Linked DNA regions of Cricetulus griseus. The protein of the gene in region 4 interacts with the protein of the main gene of each other region in a biochemical or structural test. Links are inferred from orthologs where the notes say so. Each region holds a gene or a part of one and is shown on either strand. Other genes may lie near its edges. The genes, in order: Frmpd4, Net1, Gda, Dlg3 and Cysltr2.

Evidence for each region.
Region 1: the proteins of Dlg3 (region 4) and Frmpd4 interact in a test that uses a peptide from one of them, tested with the Homo sapiens proteins (2 studies listed by IntAct, with this or other methods). The link is inferred for Cricetulus griseus from reciprocal best matches to the Homo sapiens genes DLG3 and FRMPD4.
Region 2: the proteins of Dlg3 (region 4) and Net1 interact in a test that uses a peptide from one of them, tested with the Homo sapiens proteins (2 studies listed by IntAct, with this or other methods). The link is inferred for Cricetulus griseus from reciprocal best matches to the Homo sapiens genes DLG3 and NET1.
Region 3: the proteins of Dlg3 (region 4) and Gda form a complex in vitro, tested with the Homo sapiens proteins (2 studies listed by BioGRID and IntAct, with this or other methods). The link is inferred for Cricetulus griseus from reciprocal best matches to the Homo sapiens genes DLG3 and GDA.
Region 5: the proteins of Dlg3 (region 4) and Cysltr2 interact in a test that uses a peptide from one of them, tested with the Homo sapiens proteins (2 studies listed by IntAct, with this or other methods). The link is inferred for Cricetulus griseus from reciprocal best matches to the Homo sapiens genes DLG3 and CYSLTR2.

The regions. Positions count from the first base shown.
Region 1 is NC_048604.1:102,223,519-102,227,441, forward strand, and holds part of Frmpd4 (FERM and PDZ domain-containing protein 4), read right to left. Parts: intron 2,661-3,923; coding exon 1,602-2,660; intron 1,197-1,601; coding exon 1-1,196. UniProt on the Homo sapiens protein: Positive regulator of dendritic spine morphogenesis and density. Required for the maintenance of excitatory synaptic transmission. Binds phosphatidylinositol 4,5-bisphosphate.
Region 2 is NC_048596.1:228,913,013-228,916,006, forward strand, and holds part of Net1 (neuroepithelial cell-transforming gene 1 protein), read right to left. Parts: intron 2,795-2,994; coding exon 2,732-2,794; intron 2,431-2,731; coding exon 2,334-2,430; intron 2,198-2,333; coding exon 2,121-2,197; intron 1,536-2,120; coding exon 1,278-1,535; intron 999-1,277; coding exon 828-998; intron 424-827; coding exon 237-423; intron 1-236. UniProt on the Homo sapiens protein: Acts as a guanine nucleotide exchange factor (GEF) for RhoA GTPase. May be involved in activation of the SAPK/JNK pathway Stimulates genotoxic stress-induced RHOB activity in breast cancer cells leading to their cell death.
Region 3 is NC_048596.1:39,826,275-39,830,197, reverse strand, and holds part of Gda (guanine deaminase), read right to left. Parts: intron 1,860-3,923; coding exon 1,752-1,859; intron 1-1,751. UniProt on the Homo sapiens protein: Catalyzes the hydrolytic deamination of guanine, producing xanthine and ammonia.
Region 4 is NC_048604.1:69,515,872-69,520,533, forward strand, and holds the start of Dlg3 (disks large homolog 3), read right to left. Parts: upstream 2,918-4,662; coding exon 2,561-2,917; intron 1-2,560. Other genes in the region: uncharacterized protein LOC113837508, read left to right, coding at 3,244-3,384. UniProt on the Homo sapiens protein: Required for learning most likely through its role in synaptic plasticity following NMDA receptor signaling.
Region 5 is NW_023276807.1:227,541,510-227,546,042, forward strand, and holds the start of Cysltr2 (cysteinyl leukotriene receptor 2), read right to left. Parts: upstream 3,079-4,533; 5' UTR 2,710-3,078; intron 1-2,709. UniProt on the Homo sapiens protein: Receptor for cysteinyl leukotrienes. The response is mediated via a G-protein that activates a phosphatidylinositol-calcium second messenger system.

The DNA.
Region 1 (3,923 bases), about 33 Mb from region 4:
TGTCATGCGCGGACACATCCCTTCTGTCTGTGGGTGCAATTCCTTGAAGGTGGTTCCATGGTTGGGATGACCACTGACTCTGTCGTCTGGTGAAATATAACTCCCGCCTTTCCCAGAAGCATCCGGAATCAGGTGCTTCCCCATGGAGGGGCAGAGGGGCGACTCCACAGGAGTGGCACAGGTACTGCTGCTGCTGCCTGGGCCACAGCCTGTGTCCACTGAAGAGCCTTGAGAGCTCTGTAGAGAAAAATGGCCCTCACTCTGCAGGGATGACATCCGCTTGGCCAAATGGTAGTCACAAAGGCGGGCTACACTGTCTTCAGCCTCAGGAAGCTTAGTGGCATGGTCACAAGTAGGAGAGTCAGCATCTTCAGGGTTTTCTAAGTCTTTGGCTGAGGCTACACAGGCCATGTCTGTTAGGAAGCGGTCCCCTTGGTCAAGTCCTGAACCATTATCGGCCTCTCCTTCAACAGCGACATCCTCCTTCCCTTCAGCCTCCCTGTTCCCCAGACCTGGACCTCTGGGAAAGGCTCTCATGGCTGGTGCTTCCACACCACTTTTCTCTCCCACCCCACCATCAGAGGCCACATACCATCTTTGGCTGTCCTTGCGAAAGGCAGTTCTCTCCAGGTTAAAAGTGCTGAGGTGTGGACTGTCTCTTGAAGACACAGTGCCAACTTTGCCTTTGGTGTCCTCCTCCATCTCTGCCATTTTGGTTCCTTGCTGTTTTTTTCCTAGTGCAGTCCCACTCAGGGGGGCTTTCCCCTCTCCCTCAGCAAGTTTGCTTTTCCTTTTGCTGGTACAGGAATATGCCACCGACCCCATATGCAGTTTGCTAAAATAGTCAGTGACTGACTTGGTCTCCATGGTTTCTGGCTCCATTTCCATGTGGTCTGAGTGAAGGATCTGCTTGGAAGGCACAACTTTGGGTGGGAGGTCAGTTGCTGGGCGAGCAGCCAGACCATGGGACGACTTTGGAGGCAAGACCCCTGAGGGGGCTTTGGAGGTGGGGAACTCGGTCTGCTCTTCTGTCAGAGGGTGATAGCCTTCATGAGTGGCCAAGAACATGCGCGAGAGGCTTTCCGACTGCTTCTGTGCTGCGGCTAGCTCAGAACCCTCTGTCATTTCAGAAGAGTTAGTCTCATTGCCAGAGTCTGATGAAGACTCAGGACTATAAGCCCGCAAGATGGCTACACCTGCATGCCATAAAAAACAAGAAGTGGTTAATGGCTGCAACAGAGGCACACAGAGACATGCAAGAAAATGTGACTCAGTAGTATTATTACAAAGATGGAAACAAACAACAACAATGGCAAAAATCACAAAATAAAAATAAACAAGATTTTTCCCTTTTCAGTAAGGACTCTGATTTTATTGCACAGTTATTTCAGGGAGGGGGAGGGGTGCCATGATTTCTTTTTAAACTAGCAACAAAGAAAACCACCTAGCACAAATCCCCCATGATGATAGATCAACATATTTATGAAATGGGACATATATGAAATGGAAAACACCACATAACAGGACTACAAGGACAAATGGCTCAAAAGGATGAGATGACAATGGTTATCAGTGAATAAATGTAACAATGGTGAAAGAACCTGAATTGTCACTCTTCTGTTGTTCTTCTGAAAGAGCTTCTAGGGCTTCCAGTGTGGAAACCACAGAAGGGTCCAGTTCCTTCTCACACTTGCCCTCTGCGCTGGTGGGCACAGCATCAATGAGGGACACAGGGATCTCCTCATTCTGCAGGCTGCTGCCTTGTTCCTTGTCCTCATGGAAGGATGTTGCCTGGCTCTGAGTGTCCTCCTCATCAGAACTATCTCTAAAGCCAGGTGGGGGAGCAGCGATGGCCATGTTCAAAGAACGCAAGAGGAAGTCATCTTCATTGTCATCTCCTTCTGGAGGAGGCAGGGTTGTGAGGTCAATGATGTCATCGCTTGACTCTGACAAGTCAAGGATGGCTGGCTGATTCATCTCACCCACCACGAGGTCCTCCTCGCAGCTCACCTCATCTTCATCTTCTGCATCGTCAGTATTTTCTGCATAACAGATGTCATGTAAGAGGGGCTCCTCTATCCCCTCAGGGGCCTCAAAGTTCTTCACATCACCTATGTTTGCATATACAGAATTTGCCACAAACTGGATACTGTCTGTGTCCGGAGTGAGATCCAGGTTTTTCATGTCATTGGCACTGCTGATGTAGAGATTCCTCTGTTTCTCCAACATTTCTGGATTCTCATCTAAAAGTCTTTCATAGCCTACAGTTGGGGTACTCATGCCATCATCCAAGGCAAGATCTCCAAAAATAAAGGACACTTTAGCTCCTCTTGGGGATTCCTGTGCTTTCTTCAGAGTGTCTGGTCCTGAGAGGGTCATCAGGGACCGCTGAGCTAGGCTTCTGTAGTTGGTTTCACAGGGGGCATCACCTGGCTGAGTCAGCGGTTGGCTAAGTTCATCTGAACTGTATGTGTTGTCAATGTATAAATGCCGGTGCTCTTTGGGACATAAGGTGCTGTCTGTCATCTCAACTGTCTTCTGCTTAGAATCTATATATGTGATTTGGGCTTCTTGTTCCCCTTCGCCGATGAAGGTGGTCATCTGGGGCATACAGTTCCAATCAGAGCCAAGGATATTATGCTTGCCTTTATTTTCTGTTCCTAAGGAGAAAGAATCAGGTAGATAGGTTACTATGTTGTCTGGTTTCAGGAATTGTAAGGTTCTCTCTCTCTCTCTCTCTCTCTCTCTCTCTCTCTCTCTCTTCCTGTTGTATGCAGTATATACACATATGTGTATATGGATATGCTCAGCTACAAGCATGCACATAGAAGCCAAACAAATTCCTGATATCAATCTCTACCATTCTTCATCTTATATTTTTCAGTCAGGGTCTCCCACTGAACCTAGAGCTTGTTGACTAAGACTGGCTCACCAGTGAGCCACTAAGATGCACTTGTCTCTGCCTTCCATTGTTGAGTTATAGATGCACACCACCAGACATGGATTTTTCATATGATTACTAAGGATCCAAACTCAGGCTTTCATGTTTGCACAACAAGCATCTTATTCACTCAGTCATCTCCTCAGCTTTATCTGTGTTTCTTAATTTGATGGCTTGTACTATCACTGTGTCAGCATAGTCACCCAACATTCCAAATAGGACACTAGCTGATGTAGGCTCCAGGTGTTAGATTCCTTGGTTAGGAGACTTGCATTTAACCAAATTGATACTGCATAAAACAGAGTTGCTGTTTGATAACATGTTATAGCATCTTGGAGGAGAGGATAATATCTTAACTCCCTCTGACAATTGTTTCTATTAATAGGCCTCAATGATCTCCATGAGCAGAAATATGTAACATGACTTTACAACCTTTACAGGTGATATTCTAATGGAGAGTTTTCCCCATAAAATACTCCATTTACTTTGTGAAGTGAGATCTAACATTCTCTATTCATGAAAGATGATAACTGATTTCCTCTTCCTTGAGTTATGAGAAAGTTAAGGATCTTCACACTTTTCTCACATTTATTAGGAAATTAAATGCAATGCCTCTATTTTCAGCCTACTTGTACCTTAGTGGGTATAACATATTCATGTACAAATGTCAGTATTCTTACCTATTTGTATGTATATATGTATATATGTATGTATAATGCACAAGATAGATCCCTTACAGGACCTCCTTTCAGCTATTTCTAGCCATATATAACATTTGGGCTCATTTCAGCATTTGCTTCCATCATGAGAACTTGTGAAGATTTGTTTGATGTTTTTCACCAATTAAAATTGCAAAACACAAATCTCAATATCATTGTTTCATTTGCTCTTCAAGGATGCTTTAATATGGAATTTACATGTGGAGATATTTAATAAGAGCAAGAAGTAGGTAATTCTGGGACATTGCTGTGTCGATTCCAGA
Region 2 (2,994 bases), on a different chromosome or scaffold from region 4:
CTTTTGTGGCAATCCATGACTGGGGAATGGTTTTATTCTTAAAATTCTTAAGGGTCAACTCTAATTTCATTTAAGTACACTTGTTTCTTCTCTTTGGTGTTGTTTTTGAGATGGGTATGTGTGTGTCTTACTTTGTAGCCCCGGTTGGCTTCAAATGTGTGGCAATTCTGCTTCAACCCTTTTTTCCCCATCTACTCTGGCTCCTTTGTGTAACTATTCTAGAATTTATATCTTACCTTTGTCTGAGTTGCCAAAAGCCCCTCGGAAGGAACCACCCATGCGCACATCCCCATCCTGTAGGTCTTCCAGCACCAGCTCCTGCACTGGGATTGGTTGCCGGTAAACCTGGTAGGAGTGACGCTCATTTCGTGTGACAGGCCGAGTCAAAACCAAGATGTCTTGAAACAGGAAAATATACAGTTTCTGCAGAAATGAAGAAAAAAAAATCCCAAACTTCCTAAATAAGTAACTTAATTGTTAAAGAACTGGATTTGACATTTAGATTCTGATTTCTCTTTATAAATGGCATCATAAAATAATGGTCTCAAGGCTATGCAGGTTTTGCTTGGAGCATTCAAGCTCAGGCTATCTAAGCTCTTTTCTTTCATTGGGCCACACTACCAGATTAGGCACCAGCTGTTCACAACTGGACATGAGGATGACTGGCAGAGGCGTTTAGTCCTCTTATTCTGCAACTACAGAAATCAAGTGCTTGCTTTACCAAAGCACTTTTACAAACCTGCCTCATAATTTATGTGTAGAAAACTAAGCAGACTGGGAAAAGGAAAGCAATGGCTTCCTTGTGGTTCATATTCGAATACACTCACATGGCCACTTTTATTCTTCAGCTCCCCATGGCACAGGAGCACCTTGCTCGCTTCGATCCTGGGGTCCTTCTGCTTCTCGTCCAGGTACTCCAGCTTGTCGATGTAATACTGACACTCGGATTCACCTTTCTTCAAGTTTATATCAGAAAGAACTCCTTGAATTATCAATACCTAAAAATGATAAAAGAAAACAAAAGCAGATGGAGCATCGGCTGTATTATCAAGCTTCCTCCAGAGCAAACATTCACACAAAGGCAGAATCTGAAGCCTGAAGGGACTCTAGAAGTCAATCCAGCCACTCTCTTCATTATACATGGGAGCAATCAGTCCCAGCCACACTAGGTGACTGGGCCAAGGCCACCAGACAGAGGAAGGAACCAGATTAAACCCAGTCTCTGGATGACATCAGGTCCGAGCATTCTATGCTTTTCTAATGTTTCTGAGACTTACTGCTTCCTCCAGCAGCTGGACATCAGGGTGGTCTTTTTGAGTGTGTCTAAGGATTTCTTTTAACAGTAAAGGGTATTTGACGAGGCGACTACGAGGGATATCTAGGAAACTCCAAAGATCTAGTTTTCGACTGAAGGGAGACTCCAGACAGCGCTGAAGGAAGTCTTGGACTCTTGGGTCTTGTTTCTTCTGATCCAGAAGAGCCTTGGCTGCCAGCTGGTTACTACAGTAGCCCTTGTAGGCATTCAGGCGTGGTAACTAGAGAGTAAAGACGACACACGGCACAATCCTGTTATGACTGGGTGCATTAACAAGTGATGAGCACAGACCACAAAAGTCAGTATAGCTACAAGTGTGTTTAGCAGGCTGTGGACATTTTCCTGGCCCAACTGAAGACTCATGACTTCTATTTCCAAGTCTCACTATGATGTTAGCTATTTGTTCCCAGACACCCAAGTTGATTCTATCATACTCCTCACAATCCTGATACTCTGTGGGCCTGCTCTCTCCTGTGAAGTCATAAACAGCCTTCATTACTGAGTCCCCAGGAGTTCTCCTTTAACAGAGCCTGGCACACAGTAGACACTCAAGTATGTATGGAGAGACTGCAAAAGAGGATAAGCAGCATTATAGCATTATAGGAATCCTGCTCAATCAGGGATGTTAGCTGTAAGAAGGTCTGTAACATAGTCAAGCTCGGTATTTTTTACAGGATTTTAAGTGCTTACCATCATAACTTTTAATGTGTCAATGTTTTTAGAATTTAGTGGTGTGACCAAACTGCTATGAGTGACATCACAGGCTGCAGCACTGCCTGTTACATATGACGACTTGCTTACGTACCCAGTTCACGAGAATGTGACCGATCTGTTCCACTGTCCCATCAGGCTTGGTTGCTTCGCCTATTCTTGCCAACAAATCTGAAGTGTACAAGAGCAAAAAAGAGCAACAATACAATTATTTAAAAAGACCTGGTGAGTACCACATTCTTATTAACTTAAAATTACTTGTGTTGGTTTTATTCAGGAATGAACGGATATTAAGAGCAAAGCTGACCTTCATGCAGGGGTATGTAAGCGTCCAAGTCGCCAAATATATGTGTGAGTTCCTCTTCTGACATGATGGACAACTTTAACATGGGGTCATGGTAGGCCTATCAGAGGGGAAGAAATATATCACACAAAGACTGAGCAAAGGAAACCCTTGCACAACCTGTCCTTGAGTGCACCCTAGTAACTACACAGCAAGGACAGAGATTCTGGAGGGGCGCTACAGTTACATTCACCCCTAAAAGTTTACTAGTGGTCACATTTGAAAAGCTGTCTTTCAATCTTGAGGCAAAGGTGTGTTCAATAGAAAAACACTTTTATTTTCCACTTCAAAGGTTAAGACACCATCCCCGAGAAGCTGTGAAATGTCATTTTAAGGACTGGCATATGTAAAGTGACACTGACCTTTCTAGCAAGCTTGAGATCCTCAATTAAGTCCTGCTCACCTCGGGACAATTCATATATTGCCTAAAAACATCCAGAAACACCAGAAGTCAGAAATGAAAATGATGTAATTAATATTTACTTAATGTTTTGAACAACTTTTAAAAAGAGACTTGGTCTGAAAATTTCCAAGTAAGTTTGCATTTTTTCCATCATTTATTTACCCACTAGACTGGTTGAATCTGATGACCACCACCCATGATGAATTGCTATAGACTGGGTGG
Region 3 (3,923 bases), on a different chromosome or scaffold from region 4:
ACCTTATTACGATTTTATCATCTCTACTACAGAAAATTTTCAAATATCCTCTTTTCTAAATCTGTATGATGCACTTCCAGTAGGCTGATACTTGTCTGCATTCCAATCAGGACTTTCTAAGAGAACGTAGAAGGTGCAAATATGATTTTGTAAAGAACTATGGGTTAATTGTTACGGATGGTTTGTTTTAGAAATGATATCTATCTATATAGCTAAAGCTGGCCTTGAACTCAGCCCAAACTGATCTCACACTCATAATTTTCCTGCCTCAGCCTCTGGAATGCTGGTATTTTTTTTTTTTTTGGCATAAGCCACCACATCTGAGAGAATTGTCCTTTATTTCTGTTACTAGTTTCATTATAGTCACCAATGGATCTTGACATGGACATAAAATCAGGATATGTCATATCATAATAACTTTTCCATAAGGAGGCAAACTTTATTTATGAAAGCAGGTGCCACACATTTGAAACCTCTCTAAATTCTCATGTTGGTAAGATTTGTGGGTTTTCAAGGAACATTTAATTCTCTAAAAAGTTTCTTTTTACTTTAATATAAAACTGATACCCAGTTGCTTTCTCCTTTGGGAGGCATAATTCAATAGGCAAAAACTATTATTAAAATAGAACTTTTTCAACCTCCATGCAAATATAATTAACACGAAAATTTAAGGTTAATTTATTAATCATATGGTAATATATGTAAAGGAAGATAAAGCTTCCCATGTAAATTTACATTATTTATGCAAAGTACTAACCTTTCAAATCACTTACATTCATATCTCCTTTTGTGTAGTCACTAAGAAATTGCTTGTTGCAGTAAACTCTCAAAGCAGTGTGTTCATTTCATGGAAGGCCAAGGCCAAAGGGTATACTGCTTTAATGAGGTCTCTTGCTACTCACAATAATTTTAATTAATTATAGAAGTAATACATATGCATTTTTCTAAACCTCAGAGTTTAAAATCTTACTTTTAACATTCACTGTATATCTCTGAACGTTTTTTATGTGTAAAAACACACCAAGACATATGTACATGCATATCCAACTGTTTTGAGCATTCTTCTGTGGAAGCATGCACATTTTGCTCTGTGAATGCTGGATAGAATTCTAATAATGTAAATTCTATGATTTAACCAATTCCTTGGGGATAGTTATTTTCAAACTTTCCTGTGTTATCAATGCATCTATTTGTACACTCTTTAAAGAATTATCCTTGGAAATGGATCTGCCGGCTCGAAGAAAAGCCCACTGACCTACTAACTATGAAAGCATCATTGGAAAAAAATACGCACTCACTCTCTCACCAATTAGCAATGGAAAAAGTTGTTAGGAGTTTAAGAATGAAGCGGAGGATGAAACATCAGGCCCATATTAACACACACACACACACACACACACACACACACACACACACACACACACACAGATAGATGGATACACACATATCATGGCACACACATATTGACACACACATATCTACATACACATGCACACAAGCACACACACATGTAGATATACACACATATATCTATACACATATGCATGCAAACACACACACACACACACATAGACACACACATATATCTACACATACACACACACACACACACACACACACACACACACACACTGGGTTTATTCTAGTTTGAAAAGTGCATGTGTCCTGAAGAACTGTGATTACTTCTGAGATTTTGAAACTTAAAGGATGCAGCCTGCTTTATATAGATTATATCATGATACTGAGCTTACCTTGTTTGTCAGGAGATTATTTTTATCATAGACATCTGTGTAGTTTTTGTAATCAGGGAATAAGCTTTTCACAGCTTCAACTTCTTCACGATTTTCACTTACATGGCTCTGCAAACAAAGAAAGAATGGTTTCACTTTTTCTGTAAAATATTTGACATTCTATCTCCTATCTCAATATGCTGCTGCTAGTTTCTACTTGCTGAACTTGCTGATGTAGGCGACTTGGAGGAAAACATTGAAGTCTCTACTTGCTCAGGTTTAATTTTCAGTAATTATAATGCATCCTCTATGATAATACACATGACAAAGAAACTGGATATCCTGAGCATGGCTCTGTGTGTGTATGTGTGTGTGTGTGTGGGGGGGGTCTTTCCCTCAAGACCTTTATCTATAGCAGGAACAACCTATGCCCTCTTTTAAAGAGTGCCCAGTGCCTTGCTTGCAGCATCCTATAAGAATTCAATGGCCATTGGAAGATGAATCTATGGTTCACTCAGGAAAAAAAAAAAAAAAAAAACTAAAATTTGAACAGAGAGCCTAATAGAGCAAGCCAGTTCTCTTCCTAAGCTTCCATTTCTCATCAGCCAATAAAAGTGTTGGCTTAGGTAAGTCATTTTCCATCTCTTATGCAGATGTGTTAGTCATATTTCAGGTGTGAAATTTTACAGAACCTAGTATACTGGAAGCAGATGGAAGGCTGGGCTCAGGATCTGTCCTCAGTCTGCCTCTTTTCTCGGCTTTCTGAATGATGCTTTTGCAGAAAAGAATATGAAAATGACAGAGCCTTCACCAGGCACTCATGGGAATCCACACACAAACCAAGTGAGTAGACAGCCACACCAACCTTTCATGGGGGCACCTGAAATCTGAGGGGACAAAAAGTACCTTGCACTGGAGTAGCCACCCAAGCCTCTAGAAAAAAACATTTCAGGGGTGATGAAAGTAGATAATGGGAACAATTCATGAGTCAACAAACACTAGCTAACCAATTCTGCCAGGCCTCTTTTTCTGTGCTAAGAAGAAACATAGAAAGATGAACAAAAGAAAAAGTGAGTAATGATCCCAACCAGTGCTGCACCTACATCGGACTCTACCCATGGTCGGGGAGTAAATCCCAGTCTATCAGTGAGATGCATGGATGTAGCCCAAGAGGAAGAACAACCTGGTGATTGATTGGATAGTAAAATTAAATGCCTATCTTCCATCCCTCTAATCAGAGCTGGTCTCCTGTTTGCCAAAATGTCTGTGAACTAGATTGCTAACAAGGGATAACCTTGCACTTCTGATTCTTCCTTCTGACTGCTGTGTCCCCAGTACCCAGGCTATGCCTGGGATCAGCCTCAGGGTTTTGTGCATGCCAGGCAAGCACTTTGTCAACTGCACTGCATCCCCAGACGAAGGAGAGACTTCTTCATGTCTTATTCAATTTATTTTCATGTAGGTTTTTTATGTTGTCTGCATCTTTCTTTCTCTCTCTTTTCTTCTTCTTCTTCTTCTTCTTCTTCTTCTTCTTCTTCTTCTTCTTCTTCTTCTTCTTCTTCTTCTTCTTCTTCTTCTTTTAGAATAAAACATACTGTTTCCAAAGTGGAAATATTATCCAAATTTGGAATTTTATTACCAGAGCATAATTGTGGGGGACTGAATCCAAATTCCAAATATCAGAAGCCACAAACAATAATCACGAGGAAGACACGCTAATAGGTCCTATGAACATACATTTTAAAAATAAATAAATAAATAAAAGTAAGGAATCAATATGCTGCCTTTACCCCAACTTTCCCTTCCCTTTAAGACCATCAGCTCTGAAAGAGGGGAAATTTTAGTGCAGTGTGTAATTAAGCTTGAGTGGGGGAGGGGGGCTCCTAATTTTAACCCAGCTGTGAGATTTTAAAAGCATTTTATTGCTAAATTGCAACAACTTAATGATAAAGGAAGATATACTTTTTGTTCCTGGTTTTAAATTAAGAAACTCAGAACAAAAGGATTTTAAATGCACGTTTGTAAGGTAGAAATTAAGTTCTTTTTACTTTTCAAATAATAATTGGTTCCTCCACAAATGAAGGTCTAAAACACCAGGAAAGCATCAAATAAAAGCACTAAGGAAATGTGTTTTATCAGGAATGGGTAGTATGACATTGACCTTGCTATTCTTTCTAAAGCTGTCTTGGACTG
Region 4 (4,662 bases):
AAGCCCCAATTTTTACACCTCCTTTTAAAGGTTCCAGAAATACAAGTTCTCAGATGGATAGGAGTAAAAATCCGAATCCATTTTTCCCAAGGGACTTTTGACTTAAACCCTTTGTGTGTCCCAGAAGAAAGGGTCGGGGTGGGAATTGGCCAGGAGTCTGAGGACAAACAAGGGGTAGGACAGGACTGGAGTAGACAAAATTCCCCATGAAGGAGAACCTGATGACCCATAGACATTAGAAGCACAATTTGTGACCTTTAACATACAGTAGCCATGGGAAGACAGGCAAGAAAACGGTTCAAAAACACAGATTGTTTTCAGCAACACATAGATGTGGCCTTCCTGACAGGACATATTTGTGGCCATGTTGCGAGTGGAAATCTGATTCTGCACAGACAAGTACACCTGCTTCTTCATTCCCACATTCATTTTCAAGACTGAAGGAGCCCCCTTGTCTCTCTCCACACGTGTCCCAGAACTGATCCAAATTTCTATGGCCATGTTGTACCTTTCTTAAGTTTTGGCCCCAGAGAAGAACAGCTGGAAAGCCAGGGTGGGGGTTCGTCAACATACTCTGCTCTGTTTCCCACTTCTCACTTTCATCCTTTGCACTACTGGCTTCAAGAGTGCTGACTAGCCATGCCTCCCTTATTTCCTCCTTCATGTTCTGTAGTCTTAAGGAGTCAGTGGTAGGATTCCAGCTGAAGCCTCACCCTGGTCCCACGAGGAAAAACCTCTGGTTCTTCAGAGACTTCCCTCCCCAAAACCAACACAGCTCACTGAAGTACAATGCAATAGATACAGAGGAAAAGAAAACCCATGCAGCTCTTTCATGCTCCTGGTGCACCATGTGTGCCCACATGTGACAAGCCATGCCTCAAGCCCAGTTTGGGTGGTACCTGGAGGTCTCAGCTCCCAGTAGTCCACCCTCTAGTCCTGGTCCCACTCCCACTCAGAGACCTTGCCCATAGGGTCAGGAGCAATCCAAAGATCATCCTGGGTAAAGAAACGGTACCCAACGGGCCCAGCCCTGGAATTGGCAACTATTTTCCACTGGGCAGGCCAAACATGAGCGTGTGTTTGTAAGGGAGGGGCAAAGGAGAGGGGGACTCACTAGAGAGGGCAAGGAACCAAGGCTAGGGACACAGGAAAAGGTGTAGGCAGAGAGAATGACAGTACATAGGATTCCTCTCTCCAAGAAGCCCCCTCTTTTGCTTCTAGGTGAAAACACATCCTATCCTCAGAGGAGGACAGGGATGGTCAGAATGGCCACCAGTTTGGGGCAGTCAGCACCTGCCATCGACAGCAAAGCTTCCTCTTTCTTCACCCTGGGGGCTGCAGAATTGAAGAACTAGACAGGCCCTCCGCCATGCATGCCAGAGACCTGGCTCTGCCGGCCCAGCCTCCATTTTGCTGCTTCTCCCACAGATGCTCCTTCCATTTTCTAAGCTGGCAGTTCAGGCTGGGAGTGGAAGCCGGAGTTGTGCCCAGCACCCAGGGGCTCCAAGCTGTGCCAAATCAGAGCTGGGGAGCTAAGTTCTCCCACATCTGTGGGTACCTACAAGGACCATGCCCAACTCGGGGCAGACCCTACATTAGGGCAGTTGCCCTTTGCTTGGTTCCAGACAATATGCCTGCTTTGGAGCAAGAAGGCTTGTTGAACACCCCCCACTCCCCCCCACCCCCACAGCATACACTTCAGAGCAGCTTGGACAAAAGAGTCTGTCCTTCTCAGCCTTGCTTGGGACGTGTCTTGCCTGCTCCCCCTCCCCTCTTTTTCCTGTCAAGCGCATCTCACCAGGGACACACACACACACACACACACACACACACACACACACACACACACACGCGTGCGCGGGCACACACACGTGTACACTCTTGAAACCACATGCTCACACACATATACATGGAGACACACACAGGCAAACACAGCTACTCCTGCAGCTTCATCTACAGAGACACCTCCACATTCAGAGAGCCATCCTCACACATCCATGTGCACGTTCTCACACAAAGGGACTGGGACGGAGAGATGAAGCTCAGCCAGCCCTGAACATGGGTTCCGCTACATACATTCACACAAGCTCCATTGCTTTCCTCCACACACCCCAATATACATACAAACACATATGTCCCCCCCACGCAGAACACCATGCCCCCTCCTCCCCTCCTGTGGAGACACACACCACATACAACCCCCGCAGAACCTCCCGCCCCCTGCCAGACACAGAGACACTGCCAACCTCCCCCCTCGCCGCACTGAGACAAACCCAAATCCCCCACACTAGAAAATGTGCCCCTCCGCCATACCATCACCCCTGATACAAACAGCTCCTCCCAATCCCCTTCAAATGGAGACCCCCCTAAACACACACAGAAGCACATATATTTGCAACAGTATCTCTTTAGTCAATGACAGTATTACGGCTCAGGGGCCACAGACTTGGAGCCCCAGCAACCCCTACTGTTCCCCAGACTTCCTAGACCCCAATCCCTAGTCCTTTTGGGCTGTCCCACCAGCCCCCACCCCGTCACCCGCCCATTCAATGGTCCTTACCTGCTCATACCAATCTCGGTTGGTACAGGTGCACTCAGGCCACCAGCTGGGGCCACTGCCGTTGAGTTTAGGGGTGCTCTTGCCGGGGACTGGCTTAGGGGGCACTGGCCCTACATCTCGGCCTGTGGGAATGAGCTTGGCCTTGGTGCGAGGGGTTGGGGTAGCCCCTGCCTGTGAAGGCAGGGTCTGTGAGCTGTAGCCTCCATAACTGGAGCTAGCCCCATTGCCCCCACTTGGCCCATAGGGGTCTGGCACCTGCCAGTCCCCATAGCCAGGAGGCTCAAGACGCCGCAGGGCGGCCAGGCGGGTCACCTCATAGCACTCGGGGCACTTACAGCAGTGCTGGTGCTTGTGCATGGCACTGCCCCCCGCGGCTCGGACCCCCCAACCCACGCCAGTTTCCACGCCACCGCCACTGCTGGGCTCCCGAGCACACTCGCACTGCTCAGACCAGGAAGGGGGGGGCACCCGTGGGGGCGCCCGGGCGGAGCGGGGCCTGGGGCCGGGCGGGCGTCCCGGGGCCTCTGCCCCCACGCTGCCCCGCACCCACGGCTCCCCCTCCAGCACTGGCGGCTCCGTGTCGCCCGTTGTGGCTCCTGGGCCAAGGCCCAGCGGCAAAGAAGAAGAGGGAGCCTAGGAAAAGGCTAGGTGCGGCGAGAACCTCTTCTGCTCAGGTCCCCAGGATGGATCTGAGTGGAGTCAAGAGCATCTCTCCCTGGCTCCCTTCTCAATTGATTCCAGCCAATCAGCGCACAGAGTCGGGCAGCGGCAGCGGCAGCAGCAGGAATGCTAAACAGCGGCTCCTTAAAGGAACAGAAGCAAAGGTGCCCCCCGGGCTCAACCACAGCTCCCCCATTCTCTGAGGGACTAGCTACCCTAGCCTAGGTGGCTGGGATTGAGCCACTGGAGAGCTGCGGAGCACGATCCCCTGTCCCCTTGTCGCCAATTTCAGTCTGTCTTCTGCCCACTCCACCCCGCCCCTCTTTCAAGAGGGAGTTGCAGTGAGATGCTCAATGGGTCCCTAAGCTTGCTCTAAGCTAGGGCCACCAGAAGTAAAGACAGCAACAGAGCAGACCTGAGGGGCATCTGGGCAGGGTGCGAGAAGTGCTGCCTCCTGCAGGGGACTAAGGAAGAGGGCAGAGTCCAGATCTGTTAAGTATCCTATCAAGACCATTGTTCTCTCATCCTCTAGGCCCTGTAATGGCTATCTCACAGTCGACCTTCTTACATCACCAGTGTGAAACTTAACCCCAGAACTGGCAATCAGAAAACTACTTATTCCTGCCTCAGACACTTCTGCCTCCACTCCATGGTTGTGTTAGGGAAGGGAGGCTTGGACTATTAAGAGGAAAGGGTGTCCAGATTAGAAGGAAGTGCTAAGAAAAGCTTGGAAGTACAAAAGCCAGCTCTGTGGGTCTGGAAAGCACATAAGAATACCTGTTGAAGGAGGTCTCCTCGATTCCCCTGTAGGAAGATGGGAAAATGATGCTGATAAGACAGAATTCTTTCTGAGACAGTGATCATCCTACCTCAAGTACCTGATTGGTGGCATTACAGGTGTCACCTGGCCTAACTTTTTGTTGCCGTCCTTGTTTTATTTTTAGCTGACAATGACTGAATCATTACCAAGTCTGAAGTACAAACAAAAAGCCCTATCAAGGCAGTACTAAAGTTACCTTAATTCTACCAATAAAAGCTGGAAGTTAAGCAATGTTAACACAGCTAGGTAACATAGATGAAAGATATAAGTCCTTGCCATTTGATTCAAACCCATGCTCTAGATCATCTATATAACTGATATGCTCTAAGTTTTCCTATAGATTTTAGGTCCTAGTTTAATTCAGCAAGCATTCATGCATCACCAACCTCGTGTAAGAGTGCTGTGAATAGAGACTCAGATGGTCATGCCAAACACTGTTCTAGAATTTGGTGACACAACAGTAAGACCAGGCAATATAAAACAAACAGAGCAAGTCCCTGTCCTTGAGGAGCTTACATCCTACTGAGGGAATGCAGACAAACATAACCACAAAAGATAGTTAATCATATGGTCATGATGATTGGCCATGGTTGTCATTTGGGCTAAAATTAGAGTCACCTAG
Region 5 (4,533 bases), on a different chromosome or scaffold from region 4:
TAACGATGGATTAAGCTTTTACATTTTCTCTGTTTAATTAATATTTTCGTTGCCAAAATGGGCAGCCTCCCCTTCCCTGTCCCTTGTCTCTCTCCTCCTTCTTGCTCTTCCTCTAGTAGGCTCCCAACCCATTTATCTATCAGTTTTGAGACAGTGTTTCAAGTTGTCAAATGTGACCTAGTACCCCTGATTGCCCCTCCCCCACAGTGTGAGATGACCAGCATGTACCACCAAAGCCCAGTGTATGTGGCACTGGGGATCAAACCCCAGGCTTCCTGCATCCTAGGCAAGCTGATACATTAGCCAAAGTTCTGGGTAGCTGCATTATCCCTTATGAGTCTTTTCCTCTATAAGCTTGCTCTTGGGGACCAGCATGTCTTTAATGCCTTCTGTTCAGGACAAACAAGAAAAGCAGGCCAGATCCTGGGGTCTGGAATACACAAGGTAATGGGTATTAACAATTCCTGAGCTGATGCTGACCCAGAGTAATGAGTCCCATCCTGTGGAGGGAGGAGGTCCTCTCAGGTGCCAGGTAGATAGAGTCTCAATTTTTCAAGTCTCAACTCTGCTTTTCTGTCATTTCACCCCTCTAAACTTTAAAACCTTCATCTGCTGAGGGAGTGAGAGTAAACGAAGAGGATGAGAGCAGCCCAATCAGCTCTGTGCCTGACATACCAAGTGTGTTGTCCACATTAGCCACAACTACAACACAACATGTAACAATCATAGGCAAAACTCAGAACCGAATACAAGGCTTCTTTCTAGTCAATTGGAAAAAAGAGTTGGGGCCACTTTATCGGGAGTGTGAACCAGACAGACACAGTCAATTCTATTCAATTCTGTTTAGTTTACTTTTGTTTTTGTTGCATTGCTATATTAAATTAAGGTGGCAAAAAGATATTAAGCTGAGTTGTGGAAATGACAAGTTTTATCAGTTAGACAAGTCTAAAATTCTGTACATACACTTCTTTTTCTCTTTTTCTAAATACAGATAAGGATTTTGAAAAAAAGAGAGAGAGCATGTTATAATGCTATTTTGTATCCTGCTTTTTCTTGCCACTGAGACATGGTCATCTCTTTTTTTTCTAAGTGATATAGTGCCAATGCCATCATTTAACTATATAATAATATACAGATGTAACAAAATTCATTTAATCAATTTCATAAAATAGTTATTATTGGGGTTGTATGGATGTAGCCATATATTCTAGACTCATCAGTTTGGTTCTAACTTGGGAAATATCCTACAATCCCAGGGCTTCATTTCTGCCATCTCAAAAATGAGAAATACCCTCTCTATAGATAAAGATTGTTCCACAGGTCAAATGAACAGACATATGAAAACATGTTTCTATATGGTAAAGTGCTACATAAATGCTTGTGCTTATCAAAGATGCTAAACAGACACTCTCCTCCATGGGATGAAAACAAGAAGATATTTGTTTGACACGCTATTGATCAAATTAAGGTCAAGTATATGCCTGTGGGAAGCTCATAGCACAGGCAGAACTGCTTCAGCCTGATTTAGGTGCCGTTATCTGTCCAGTCTTTTGATATGAAGTCAGTCTGTTTTATTCTTAGGGGGACATTGGGGTCCAATGAAAATAATTTCTTTTGGAAAGCAGGGTGAACCATTAGATCAGTCTTGGCCACCTGCTGTATCTTCGGTGTGCTTGTAAATGGCCAGATATTAAATGTCCATCTCTTGACTGACTTTGAAAAGTTATACAAAGAAAGGAAGTTGGGCTACCTTGGCAGGTACTAGTGCCCACCGGGCTTAATGTTAACATATTTAGAGCCTTCTAAATCCTCAACTTCTCCCACAACTACCTTCCCAAGCCATAGAAACAAATCTACTTCCTTCAAACATTAATTAATTGAAGCTTTCAAATAGGTTCTAATCTCAGGAGTTGAAGTAGACAACGGAAATTTCTAAAGTTCTTATATGCCCCACAAATTAGCTCTCTAAGTTAGATTACTTACATAGTAAAAGAGAGACTTGCCTTTAATTGCATCTCATTTCCCCACCATTATTACTCTCAGGTATGTGGTATCGACAAGAAGGTTTTTCAAACAACCATTTCTTTAAGAACAGACCATTTATTAATAACAACTGAGAAGTAATAGCAAACAAAACCCATTAAAGACTGGTTAATACCAGGAAACCAGGTTTAAGCTGTTTGAGGCATTGTTCTCTAATCTGCTGAGATGCAGGCAATTCTGACTGAGGTGCAGCCCCAGCTGAAAAACCAAGATGGGTGCTCCAAAACAAACCGATTCCAGCACACGTGTTCATGTTCACTGCACCTCTGAACAAAACCACTGAAATCTACCTTCTCAAATACAATCCTCTTCCAAAAGCAAGACTTTTGAGTAGAAAAAAAAAAAAGCCTTATGGGATAAAATGACCAAAGGAGGGAAAATATCAATGCCTTATATAGCAATCGCAATTGTGGCTCTGCAGAATTCATGGCAGCATGGATAAGGCACAAGGTTTACTGGAAGGAGTGAACATAAACGTGTTTGTATTTTACAGATGCAGCTATGAAAGGAAGCTAAAATCATATGCACAAGCCAAAAACAAAAACAAAAAAACATATGTGGTAGAACTGATAGTTGAACAAATTAAGCTTACATTCCACACGTCATTCCTGTAGGAGCCATCAAAGCACAATTCTGAGTGACAAATGAACAAACGGTACAACCCACCTGTGTGCTTCCTTCTGCGCCCGGCCTCCTCCCGCTTGCCCTGCCTTCCGACTCTGCCCTCTCTCCTGGCTGTCTCCCCATACGATGCAGCTTGTTCATTTAAAGCAAGAGTGAAACGGCCAACTCTGTTTTATGAACAGTGTTAGCCAATAGCAAGAAAAGAAGGAACTTGGGTCAGCAGGTCCTCAGCTTGGTGGCAGGATCGTGGGAATGAATGCTGGCTTCCTTCTTTGGAAGGCAGAGAATTTCCAGCTAGTGACCATCGTACCAAGTCACCCTGGAATTATCGTCCTCTAATGACTCTTGATGTTTTTGTTGTTGGGATTTCTTTTCTTTTCTTCTTACCTTTCTTCCTTCCTTCCTTCCTTCCTTCCTTCCTTCCTTCCTTCCTTTCTTTCTTTTTTCTTTTAATCAGATGTGATGGGCGGGGGGGGGGGGGGGAGGGGGGGAGTTAAGTGGCTTTTATTTCCGAAAGGGTTTCTGTTTCCATGACAAGCCCATCAACTCCGCTTTTCACACTCAGCCCTGCCGACAGCTTTAGATAAAGCACTTTCACTACCCTCTGGCTTTCCCGTGCACTCTGGCAAAGGCCTTACTCACTCTGCTAAAAAGTCTCTGTGAAGGCCGCCACTGGTCTCATTGCTCCTGTAATGTGTTACTCTTGCTTGAACAGTTAACTGTGGAAACTCTGTCACCATATTTCTCAATCCACCTGGCTTTTTTCCCAACTTTCAGCCTGATTCTCCTTTGCCTCCTGGACTGCTTGAATGAGAAATTCCCAGTTTCATCCCCCGTTCTGTATTTCACCTCCTGATTCAGCCTCTCTGGCTTCTTCATTCCCATCATGCAGTTCTTCTCCTCCTACCTACCTACACACACACACACACACACACACACACACACACACACACACACACACACACACACACACACTACTCCTGTTAGCTCAACCTCCAACTTGAGCCAGCAATCCCTGGGACCCTGCCTTCCTATATACAAGTGACAGATGGACTGAGAAAGAAATCAGGGAAACAACACCTTTCACAATCATCTCAAATAATATAAAATATCTTGGCATAACTCTAACCAGACAAGTGGAAGACTTGTGTGATAAGAGCTTTAAAACACTGAAGAAAAAAATTGAAGATGGGAAGATCTCCCATTCTCACCAATCAGTAGGATTAATACAGTAAAAATATCCATCTTGCCAAAACCAATCTGCAGATTCAGTGCAATCATAATCAAAATTTCAACACAATTCAAAAATCTTGATAGGGCAATTTTTGCTTTATATGGAAACACACACACACACACACACACACACACACACACACACACACACACACCAGAATAGCTAAAACAATCCTGAATAATAAAACAACTACTGCAGGTGTCATTATTCTCAACCTCCTCAAACTGTACTACAGAGCTATAGTAAAATAAACAATATGGTATTGGCATAAAAGTATACATGTTGATTAATGGAATCAAACTGAAGATGCAGACATAAATCCACACACTTATGGATACCTTATTTTGGATGAAGAAGTCATAAATATAATGGGGGAAAAGACAACATCTTTAATGAATGGTGCCGGTCAAACTGGATGGCTACAGATCCAAACAGGGTCCACACTTTTATCACCCTGCACAAAATTCACATATACTGAGCCTGATAGAAGAGAAAGTAAGGAATAGTCTTGAGCTCAACAGTACAGGAAAAAACTCTGTGAACAGAACATTGGCAGCACAGACACTACAATCAACAATTAATAAAGGGGACCTCATGAAACTGAAAAACTGTGTGGCAAAGCCTGCTTGGGG